Oryctolagus cuniculus: one gene and its partners. The protein of the gene in region 1 interacts with the protein of each later gene in a pairwise test. Links are inferred from orthologs where the notes say so. Each region holds a gene or a part of one and is shown in the gene's direction. Other genes may lie near its edges. The genes, in order: KLHL40, TASOR2 and SPMIP4.

Region 1 (4,317 bases):
TCACTGGAAGTTTTTGTTAACTCTTGGAAAGCAGCAAGAGAGGGAGGGACTCCCGTGGTCTGCAGAGGTGGGCGCGACTGCCTGGAAGCCTGGTTCCATTGCTTGCCAGCTCTGCGACCTGAACAAGTCGCTGAGGCTCTCGGAGCCCAGCCTCCCTCCTGATGGTACTCACTACACATGCTCCAGGCCTGGGCTGGCAGCTGACCACCTGCCCTGCCTGGGCCAGCCCCTGCCCTGTAGGCAAAGAGGGACAGGACCACCGTGGCCCTCTGGGACCTGCTGGTGGTCAGGTGCACGGCACAGTCGGGACCGGCAATGACGCTGCTCAGATCACAAAAGGGGAGGTGACTCAGTGCTGGCCCAGCCCGAGGTCTTCTCTCCTATCTCCCCCCTGCAAGACGGCGGTTATAAACAAGTGACTCAGAGGAATGATGGGGGAGAGTGCCCCTTAACACTCATACCAATGTGCCCGGGCTAAATTTAAACCACAGCTGCAGCCTCCGGCACTTTGGGAACAAGTTAATTTTGGTGGCTGAGGCTGGTGTGTGTGTGTGTGCGCGCATGCTTGGGGGTGGTCAGGAGTCCAGAGTAGGGTGGGCTTTGAGCCAGACCCCTTAGATGGAAGACAAGGTGGAGGGTCCCAGAGGCCAGGCAGGCTCAGACCACGCCTAGTATGGACCAAGAACAATGTGGCCAGGCAGTGAAAGTCTTCAACTATGCAACTCCTAGGGTGTTACTTTTTGAACACTAGCATTCGGAATGTGGCTTCCCTAGAGCGTGAATGCCCTGGGGTCCAGCACCTCCAACAACAGAATCCCTGGAAATGAGCTTTCTAGAACGCCTGAGGCCTTAGCACAGGACACGCCTCTAACACTGTCCTCCTGCATCTCAACCTCAGCAGAGTCTGACTCCTCTTCCTCCTCACTGTGTACGGGGGAAACTGAGGCTGCGCTGAGATAAGCCCTGCCCCAGGAGCCCCTTGTTTACCTAAGGGCTGTCTTGCAAGAAGGGGGGTCTCAGAGGCCAGGCAGAATCAGGAAAACCTCTTCCTATCTTACAGGTGGGCAGCAAGGCCCAAGAGTGTATGCCATGTCTAAGTTCACTGTGCAGGAATGCCATGTATACTGAACACAGGGGTGGCTGGAGCCGGCTGTAACCCCAGGGAGGAAGTCGGGAGGGGGGGGGGCGGCCTGGCAGATAGGTCCACGAGGCACGAAGGAAGGAGACCCCGGAAGAAGTCTCCTGAGACTCCCCCTTCTGGGTCTGGGGGGTCTCCCAGACCCAGACCATCACTAGCCCAAGGAGTCCAGAGGGAGGCCCCCTTTTTGGGGGAAGGCCCAGACACCCCACCCCCATCCCATGAGCCCCGGGGGCTCGTCAACGCTGCCCTGGGAGGGGGCCTCTGCCCAGCTGTCTGCCGTGCGTCATGTGCGGGAGGCCGGGCAGCTCGCCTTACAGGGCCCGGGCCGCCTCTATATATAGCCCGGGAGACAACTGCGCAGTCTGAGCACGCCCCGGGGCAGGAGAGCAGCGCTCTTTTAGAGAGGAGTGCCCCGGCCCGGTTGCGACCCCTTACGCCCCCCACCATGGCGCTGGGCCTGGAACAGGCAGAGGAGCAGCGGCTGTACCAGCAGACGCTCCTGCAGGACGGGCTCAAAGACATGCTGGACCACGGCAAGTTCCTGGACTGCGTGGTGCGTGCCGGCGAGCGCGAGTTCCCGTGCCACCGCCTGGTGCTGGCCGCCTGCAGCCCCTACTTCCGGGCGCGCTTCCTGGCCGAGCCGGAGCGCGCGGGCGAGCTGCGGCTGGAGGAGGTGTCCCCGGACGTGGTGGCCCAGGTGCTGCACTACCTGTACACGTCGGAGATCGCGCTGGACGAGGCGAGCGTGCAGGACCTGTTCGCCGCGGCACACCGCTTCCAGATCCCGTCCATCTTCACCATCTGCGTTTCCTTCCTGCAGAAGCGCTTGTGCCTCGCCAACTGCCTGGCCGTCTTCCGCCTGGGCCTCCTGCTCGACTGCGCACGCCTGGCCGTGGCCGCGCGCGACTTCATCTGCGCGCGCTTCACGCTCGTGGCGCGCGACGCCGACTTCCTGGGGCTCTCGGCCGACGAGCTCATCGCCATCATCTCCAGCGACGGCCTCAACGTGGAGAAGGAAGAGGCGGTGTTCGAGGCGGTGATGCGCTGGGCGGCCAGCGGCGACGCCGAGGCGCAGGCCGAGCGCCAGCGCGCGCTGCCCACCGTCTTCGAGAGCGTGCGCTGCCGCCTGCTGCCGCGCGCCTTCCTGGAGAGCCGCGTGGAGCGCCACCCCCTCGTTCGCGCGCAGCCCGAGCTGCTGCGCAAGGTGCAAATGGTGAAGGACGCGCACGAGGGCCGCCTCACCACGCTGCGCAAGAAGAAGAAGAAGACGGAGAAGGGGAAGGAGGCCGCCGGCGCGAAGGAGGCCGGCAAGGGTGCCGGCGACACCAAGGCGGAGGAGGAGGAGGAGGAAGAGGAGGAACGCGTCCTTCCGGGGATCCTCAATGACACGCTGCGCTTCGGCATGTTCCTGCAAGACCTCATCTTCATGATCAGCGAGGAAGGCGCCGTGGCCTACGACCCGGCAGCCAACGAGTGCTACTGTGCCTCCCTCTCCACCCAGATCCCCAAGAACCACGTCAGCCTGGTGACCAAGGAGAACCAGGTCTTCGTGGCCGGAGGCCTTTTCTACAACGAGGACAACAAGGAGGACCCCATGAGCGCGTACTTCCTGCAGGTGCCTGGCCAGCCTTGGGAGGGACCAGTTAGTGCTGAGCTCTGGGCACTGGGAGAGCCGGGCGGGACGAAACTTTGGGGCCCAGGAGGAGGCTGGGGCCACTTGGGCAAGGTCTCCGGGTCTAGGGTGATGGGATGTTGATAGACAGCCTTTGGCCTGAAGGTTACAGAAGGTTATAGGCAGCTGCCGAAGAGCTGCGTGGCTTTGGTGTGTGTGCATTCCCGGGGGCATGTGAGCCCCTCCTTGGAACATGCTGGAAGCCCTGGCTCTGCCCAAGGGCGTTGGGAGCAGGCATAGTGAGGAGGAAGAGCAAGGTCAGTGTTAGCATGTTGGGGCTAGGACGGGACCTGGGACAGAGCATCCCAGACAAAAGGCCCATCCTGCCCGGTCCCCCCACTGTGCGGCCAAGGCAACTGCGGAACACCCAGGGAAGACCAGCAGAGCAAAGTGCCCTGACCAAGTTGGGGGTGCGACTGTGGGATCTCAGCAGGCAGAGATAGGTGCTGGGCTTGCCGTGTCTGGTGGGCTTGCCTGTCTGGTGGACTCTCTGAAGGGGAAGGTGGAAGTGGTGAGCAAGGACCGGGGGCAGGAACGAGCCTGGCGAACACTGGACTCAGTGAGGCCCGCCCAGCACGAGGGGTGCACGGCAGCGTGGTGCCGGCCTTGCCAGTGGATCAGGGGGGGGGGTGGGGGTGGCTCCGCCAGCAATGGGAGCGCCTTGTTTATTCTCTCTGCCTCTTTGTTAAGTGGGGATATTCTTCTCGCTTGATAGGTTTATTGGAAGGTTAAGCAATGCTTTTACATGCTTATCGGCACAGCCGTCAGCTCTTAGAAAACCACCCCAGAAGGTGAGCCCCCGGTGTCTCCACCAAGGCTGCGGAGGTGCCCAGGGCTGCACCCTGTAGGTTGTCAGGGACATAGTGGAGAGCAGGGGCCAGCAGACCCTGGTGGGACGCTGCAGAGGGGAAGAGGCCAAAGCCAGAGCTGGACCTCCCTCCACAGCGCCCCCTTCAGTCTGGGCCAGGGTGCCCCGTCACTGTGCTTTAATGGTGGGAGAGGTACTCTCTCCAGGGACCACCTCTAGGCTGTGCTGGCCCTACCAGGAGGCAAGGAGCTTGGGTGGCAGGATGGGGTCGGACCAGGGACTGAAGCTGACTGCACGTCTGGCCTGCAGTTTGACCACCTGGACTCAGAATGGCTGGGGATGCCGCCGTTGCCCTCGCCGCGCTGTCTCTTTGGCCTGGGAGAGGCTGTGAATTCCATCTACGTGGTGGGCGGCCGAGAGCTGAAGGATGGCGAGCGTAGCCTGGACTCAGTCTTGTGCTACGACAGGCTGTGAGTGGGGGCCGCCGCTGGGCCCTGGGGGCAGGTTGGGGACCTGGCAGGGGCCAGGAGGTCGTGGACCATGGGTGGGACTGGGAAGGGGTGGGCAGCCGGGAGGGAGGGAGGGATAGTTCTACCCCAAACCTGCATTGCGTATGGGGGTGAATGCAGAGACAGCAAACCACCGAACAAGTGCCTGAGCCTGCCCCCTCCTGCCCCTCCAGGTCATTCAAGTGGG
Region 2 (3,648 bases), on another chromosome or scaffold:
CCAAGAAATATCTACACCAGAGAGGGATACCAGGTCCTGCCTTTGCCAAGAATGGGACAAAAGGCCCTGATGCAGGAACCCCAGTGGGAAAAGTCATGCCTTTTCGGCATCAGCAAAACATCTCCCCACTACAAAAGCTTTCTGAGGATCCACTGATAAAGCGCAAGAGCCGATTGATGTCTTCCAATCTTAAAAATGTTTATTACTCTCATAACGTATTTAGCTGTGATGGCTCCTTGAAGGTCACATTCAAATGTGAAGCAGAATATGCATTCAGCTTAGATAGCAAATATACAAATAATCCACTAGAAAAAACTGTTGTAAGAGCATTACATGGGTAAGTATGAGTGAAATATAATGCAAATGATGTAACTTTTCTGTTGAGATTAGTGTACTGAGACAAGAAACCTGTGAGAGACTTTGAGGAAAAAGAAGTGTTAGTGTTATGTTGTGTGTGAAAGTAGTTTGGTAGTGTGAGATAGAGATTATGTTTTACACTTAAGTTCATGAGGAAATATTCAAAACATTGGTCAGAGTAATAGGAACTGAGTGGTTTTATTTAGGGTTGTTCTATTAATCTTCCTTAAGAAGGGATTAAAGCAATAATAATAGGGTAGTTAACAGCCAGGCTTTGCAGTTTAGACCAATCTAGGTTTGAATCTAGGCTCTTCCAGTTTTATCACCTCTGTACTGTGGGCAAGTTATCTGCTTCTGGACAGTGCTTTTCAGTCTTCATTGTGTATGTGTATCATCCAAGGATTTCACTGAACTGCAGATTCTGGTGTAGTCTGTTTGGGATGAGGTCAAGAATCTACATTTCTAACAAATTTCCAGGTGATGTCAATGGAGGATGACAGTCTATGGGCAACACTCTTAAGAGTATGGGTTTCATAATGGTTATATCCTGAGGTGATTACATATATTAGGGTTTTGCACAGTGATTGGCCCATGACTGTTGGCAGTTAGCATTAGCTATATGGAATGACCCAATGGAATTTACAGTTAGATTTCTTCCCTTGCACCTATTCACATATACTTACATTCACATATATACTTAACCTTATAAGAATCATTTCCTTAGCTTTAATCCTGTTTAACTGCAGCCTAACAATGCAGCTTCCCTAAATCATTCCCACTCTATCTGCTTGCTTTAACCATTCAGAGGCAAGAAATGTTTTATATGTCATTTTGTAGTTTTGTGATATTAACTGTAATCTAAAACAGTATATACAATTCTGCTAAATTGCCCAGATATTCTAATTTTTAGACTTTTTCAATGATTAGAAGACAAAAATAAGAAGTATTTTCTATTTGTGTTATAGTAAATTAGCAAGAATTAGGAAAACCAAGGCAATAAGGATTTGGGTAGTTGCTTTGAAAGCATTATTCATATCTTAAGTATATCATGTCCAGCAAAAGTTTGTGTTACAGAAAAGCAAATGCTGGTCTAGGATTTGGGAGATCCATGTTCAGACGATGGTGATACAGGTTTCACGGTCTGAAAGAAGTCACCTACATGTTTTGATTTCAATTCTATTCTCTGTAAATGAGTGGGTTAGAGTTATTTGCAAATTTCATATTCATGTTTAAATTTTAAAATAAAAATGCAAAACTGAAGTTAATAGTAGAGACTTTTATGATAAGCAACCAAAAGAACTATTTTTAGTGATTTTTGTGTGTTTCTTTAAAATCTCAGGCCCTGGAACACTGATTTGCCTGATAATGTGGAGGAAGTGAAGCTTTTACTGCATATGTGGGTAGCTCTGTTTTATAGCAATCAGAACAAAGTCATAAGATCATCCCGAAAAGTGGTAGAACACAGCAACCCAGCAAAATATGTGTCTATAAATAGTACATTAGAATCTTTTGAACTCAGTGAAATTGAGGAGTTCCCCAAAGTGGAAAGATGTTCTGCAGACCCTCTTTTGGAAACAAAAGAAACTTCCAAAGGTTATGCTACTGAAGTATCCTTCCCTGACCATAACTGCTTGCTTCCTTTCATTAAATCACCTCCTGTCAAAGGCTTGGAACTCTGTGTACAGAATGAACAGAAAGAAATTTTTGCAGGAAAGTGTCATCTAGATACTTCAGAAAGCCAGAATTTCATCTATTCGTGCAATAGTGAGGTAAGACTGAATACTGTAAATGCTGGCATTACTTTTGCAGACATTTTCAGTTTTTTGTATATAAAGTCACATTCAAAACAAGGTATTGTTTACTTCAGAAAGGTGAATTCTTTAGGTATACAAGGATTATTGGACCAAAAACTTGATTTTCTTTAAGTGTCACTCAGTTCTCTGCAGGTGGATCTTATCTGTCATCCTGATGGAAATAAACAGTAGGAAAAAATCATAGGTTAAATATTTTGGAAGCTCACCATAATTGTGTTATTAGTTTTATCATTTGGAACAGATTGTTTATTCTCTCTCAACTTATTTTCTAAATTTTTTAAAAAAGATATATTTATTTGAAAGGCAGAGTGACAGGGAGGGAGAAATAGATCTGTATGCTGGTTCACTTCCCAAACTGATGCAACAACAAGGTCTGGATCAGGCTTAAGCCAGGAGCCAGGAACTCTACTGTTTTTAACTGATTTTCAGCCACACCAGATAATCCAGATATTAACTGCAACAAGTCAAAAAGTTGTAACAAAATTCTAAGTAAATGAATTGACAAAATGCCTATCATTTTATGCTTTCAGTATGGATTTATTCTAGAATAAATTAGCATGGATTTAGATAGCACCTATGATGCCTGTCTTAACATTGGGTAAGCAATAATTCTAAACCTGGGGTTACTCATTCCATTTATGAGCCTTAGAGGGCTTGCAAAATGAGCAGGATCATTATCAAAGTTAAGATTTCGGGAGCATACATGCCAGATGGTGTCCTAAGCCCTTTAATAACAGTAACTCAATTCTCAAACCAATGAGGTAAGGACTGTTATTCTCCACATTCTGTAGATAAGCAAACTGTGGCATAGAGAAGCAAGGAAATTGTTGAAAATCATGCAGTAAATTCTCAAGACTCAAATCTAGGCAGCTTAGATGTTTGTCAATGTCAGATTCAGTGTATGTGGGTACATATATAAGGAGTCTTCAAAAATTCATGGAGAGAGCATTTTTTGAAAGAACTATACATGAATTTTAATTGTTTTTGCACCAAAATAAACTTTTCTCATTTTTGAAGTACCTCTGTAAAGATGCATATTTTTGTGTTTATGTATATTGTAGTCATATATGTGCTTTTTCCCCCCGAAGATGGAGTTCAGAAAGTTCATCTGATTGTTTAAAAGGTACATAAAAAACAATTAAGAATTACCACCTTAGCATAAGAAAATGTAATTTAGTCAGGCAAATTTTGATTACTATCCAAATAAATACTTCTTATATATATATATATATTATATGATTTATTTATTTATTTGAAAGAGTTAGAGTGAGCTTCCATCCACCAGTTTACTCCTCAGATGGCTGCTACTGCCACGGTTGGACCAGCCTGAAGCCAGAAGCTTTATCTGGGTCTCCCAATGGATGGCAGGGGTCAAACATTTGAGCCATTTTCTGCTGCTTTTCCCAGGCCATTGGCAGGGAGCTGGATTGGAAGTGGAACAGCTGGGACACTAATCAATGCCTGTATAGGATACTAG
Region 3 (3,648 bases), on another chromosome or scaffold:
TTTTTTAATCTTTAGGATAAGGTCCTGTCTTGTCCTCCCCACTACTTAACTGGAGGAGGTGGTCAAAGAGCTTCAGCTTTATCTGCAGTGCTCCATTTTTTATATTGTGTTTACCTCCTGCCGGAGCAGGTCCTCAACCTCAGCTACACATCACAACTAGCTGGGGTGCTTTTAGAAACCCCGTCCCAGGCTGCCTCTCACTTCTGTGAAATCATTTTCTGAGGGCAGGATCCATGGCAAGGATGCCTTGTTATTTATCTGCCAAGGTCTTCTTAATCTTCTCCCTCCTCTCCAGCCCCAAGAGTGGGGAACATGTGATCTACAGGCCATATAGAGTACATAAATATGTAGGCCACTCCTATTAGTAGAACAATATTTGGGGGCCAGTGCAGTGGTGTAGGGAGTAAAGCCATCACCTGCAGTGCCAGCATCCCATATGGGCACCAGTTCAAGTCCCGGCTGCTCCACTTCCAATCCAGCTCTCTGCTATGGCCTAGAAAAGCAGTAGATGATGGCCCAACTCCTTGGGTCCCTGCGCCCACGTGGGAGACCTGGAAGAAGCTCCTGGCTCCTGGCCTCAGATCAGCCCAGCTTCAGCCACTGCCACCATTTGGGTAGTGAACCAACAGATGGAAGACCTCTCTCTCTCTGCATCTGCCTCTCTGTAACTCTGCCTTTCAAATAAATTTTACAAATCTTTAAAAAAAAGAAAAAAACAGTATTTGGAAGGGAAAAAAAAGTCCTTCATATTTCCAAGTCAGCTGGCTCTATAAATAATGAAAAAGATAAGGGAACAAAGAAGGCTTTTCTTTACCCTCTGAATAAGTAAGCCACAGATTTAGAAAAAAAAAATTTTCGGTTAAAGATTTATTTGAAAGGTAGAGTTACAGAGAGAAGAAAGGCCAGAGAACAGTATTTTTCATTTACTTGTTCACTCCCCAAATGCCTACAACAGACAGGGCTGAGTCAGGCCAAAGCCAAGAGCCAAAAACTCCATCTGGATCTCCCACATGGGTGGCAGGAACCCGAGTTCTTAGGCCATCATCCACAACCTTCGAGACACATTAGCAGAAGCTGGATTGGAAGTCCAGAGTAGCCAGGACTCAGATCAGGCACTCCAACAGAGGATTCAGGCATTCCAAGCAGCAGCTCACCTGCTGTGCCACAACACCTGCCCCACAGGACTTCATGTGTCATTTACCATACATGCTCTCAGTGTGTTAGGATGGGGATCTCTCCACCCTCGTGGTTGCTACAAGCAGCAGCATCCATAGGCCTAGGGACTTGAGATGGTCCAACTTTGCCTTCCTCTGGCTGTGGCCTCTCTGTGTGGCCAGGAATTTATGAGGCAAAAGGGTACATGTATCTGGAGCCCATGCTCCCCATCTCCCATTCTGGGCTATGATCTTGGACCTCAGAATCCCCTGACCAGTTGACTTTGAATCCAGTCCCAGGATTCCATCAATCTAAGAAAAGGTGCACTTTTAAGGAACCAGAAAGATGGCAATGAAATTCAGTCATATTTATCATATTTACCTACACACATAAAACTCCACAGCTGTGTCTCAAGAATGGAAACAACTTTGAGTGACTTCACCTTCATCATGAAGTCATAAAAGCCACTGAATGGTTTCATTTCAGGCAAGAAAGGAAAAATAGGAGGCGGCATACAATTGTAACTAAACTGAGCCCAAAGAGCGCCTTGGGGCCCTGTGTATCTGAAGTAAAACTCAAGGTGGAGGATTCAGAGCACTTCTCCTATGCACGTTGTCAGAGTCCCTGCTAAGGAAGAGACTTTAGAAAGACCTTCGCATTCCCTTAGTAGGATGTGTTTATATCTGGGACAGATTCAGAATATTTGTAACTAATGAGGGAAAAGGCAGTGTCTGACTCTTCCTGGAGTTTCCTTCTGCCTCTTTCCTGCTGACGTAACGAATCAGCTCTTACTCCACCAGAGGACATTAACAGCAATAATCTTTCTGTTCATATTTTAGTTTCCTAAATGTGTTGATAAAACTAAGCCAGTATTCTACCCAAAACCTCCTAAAACCTTCGCTCCTAACACTTCTTTAAATTCATGGGACCCTATTTATCCTGCAAAAGAAGCCAACATACAAAGAAATCTTGAGAGGAACCACTGGATCACTTCATACACTCACAACTTTACAGGTATGAGTTCACCTGAATACAGGTAGAAATTACAGCAAAACTGGAATAGCTGGCAAAGGCTGCCACACGCTTCCCCCTTCTAATAGTTCTCTGTTTCCCAGTCCAAGTACTACCATCAATTAAGGTGGGTGGTCAGTTTCTGTTGATTGTCAGCTGGGAGACACAGTTGGTTTTCATTTCATTGGCTTTTTATGAGTCTTACAAAGGTAGTGGGTAAGTTTCTTATAAAGGGTAAGGGTAATTCAAGCCCCTTTTTTTTTCATTTACTCTGACAAAATAATAAGACAATGTTTCCATTAAGGTCTGGGGCCCATGGACCCCCTTGAACTGGATGATTACCATGAAAAGGAGGTAGCAGAGTTAACTGGACAGATAGGATTTGACCCAGAGCCTGTAAGTAGTTACAGTCAACTCTCAGTTACTTAGGGGTTGGGCTCCTGTTTACTGTACTTTTTATTTGTATCATGAATACTGGTGACCACGCTAAAGCTAGCAAAGGGAAACTTTGCAACCCATGTCAGAAGCTAATTCTAAACTGATCTGTCAATTGCCTGGAAAAAATAAGCAAGGTTTCCCTTCCTCTTCATAGTGCTATTTTTTAAATATATATATGTAGAGAGAGAGAAAGATTTTTCTACCATGGTACTTGTAGCTATTTCTACCATGCAACTTGTGCAGTTGCTAAAATAACTTACAAGGAAACTGATTTACCAAAGAATAGACCTTAGCTAGTAATTTAATGGGATTCTCAGTAAGTTCTGGGGACCTTTTCCTATCTGTCCATCTTGTGCATTACTGCTGCTTTTGAGACACAGGCTTCCTCACAACTGTCTCAGTAATTGAGGGGTGCCTGAATTGCAATCAGAAGCCCATAAATTCTCTGCAGATAGCAACAGAGACTTCTCACTTGGCTATGGGAAAGAAATGGCCTGAAAGAACTGATCAAGGCCTCCAGGGACAGAAAGTATCATCTGTCAGCTGAATTGTGCAAATGAAATGAAATGACCTAACAGTATACATATGTGTTATTTTATTTCAGGGCTAAGTTTTGTCCTCTACAACTGTAAATTTTAGAAACAAAATTATTTTCAAACATGTATGAAAGGCACACATAAAATAACTTTAAGAGTCTTTCAATTTAAACATTTTTTTAGATTGAGCTGAACATATTTATTTTGTACAAGCTTCAGCATTTCAGAAGGTGATACAAAATCCTAAGTGCAAAAGCGGTCTTGTAGACTTTGCCTTATCACTTACTGGGTGTTTGTAATTGTTTTTTATTTTTCATCTGTGACAAGCATTCCCTAAGGCTCAGAGAACTACACGTCCTCTGACTCTGTCAGGGGAGGTCAGCAGCGGTCCAGAGTCCCACAGGCATGGCCCCTCAGGAAGCAGCTGTATGATTATTGTGAAAAAACAGATGGGCAGTTATACCAAGGGTGCTTGTCAAGTATGTTACACATAAAATTACTGTGCAAG

What was found.
Region 2: the proteins of KLHL40 (region 1) and TASOR2 interact in binary tests that used the Homo sapiens proteins (3 or more experiments, as listed by UniProt). The two-hybrid records come from large-scale screens. The link is inferred for Oryctolagus cuniculus from reciprocal best matches to the Homo sapiens genes KLHL40 and TASOR2.
Region 3: the proteins of KLHL40 (region 1) and SPMIP4 interact in a two-hybrid assay, tested with the Homo sapiens proteins (2 studies listed by BioGRID and IntAct). The two-hybrid records come from large-scale screens. The link is inferred for Oryctolagus cuniculus from reciprocal best matches to the Homo sapiens genes KLHL40 and SPMIP4.

Annotation. Positions count from the first base shown.
Region 1 is NC_091441.1:105,283,792-105,288,108, reverse strand, and holds the start of KLHL40 (kelch-like protein 40), read left to right. Parts: upstream 1-1,493; 5' UTR 1,494-1,586; coding exon 1,587-2,756; intron 2,757-3,930; coding exon 3,931-4,091; intron 4,092-4,303; coding exon 4,304-4,317. UniProt on the Homo sapiens protein: Substrate-specific adapter of a BCR (BTB-CUL3-RBX1) E3 ubiquitin ligase complex that acts as a key regulator of skeletal muscle development.
Region 2 is NC_091444.1:79,647,603-79,651,250, forward strand, and holds part of TASOR2 (protein TASOR 2), read left to right. Parts: coding exon 1-337; intron 338-1,696; coding exon 1,697-2,126; intron 2,127-3,648.
Region 3 is NC_091447.1:16,946,878-16,950,525, reverse strand, and holds part of SPMIP4 (sperm-associated microtubule inner protein 4), read left to right. Parts: intron 1-1,994; coding exon 1,995-2,169; intron 2,170-2,470; coding exon 2,471-2,562; intron 2,563-3,648. UniProt on the Homo sapiens protein: Microtubule inner protein (MIP) part of the dynein-decorated doublet microtubules (DMTs) in flagellum axoneme. May serve to reinforce and thus stabilize the microtubule structure in the sperm flagella.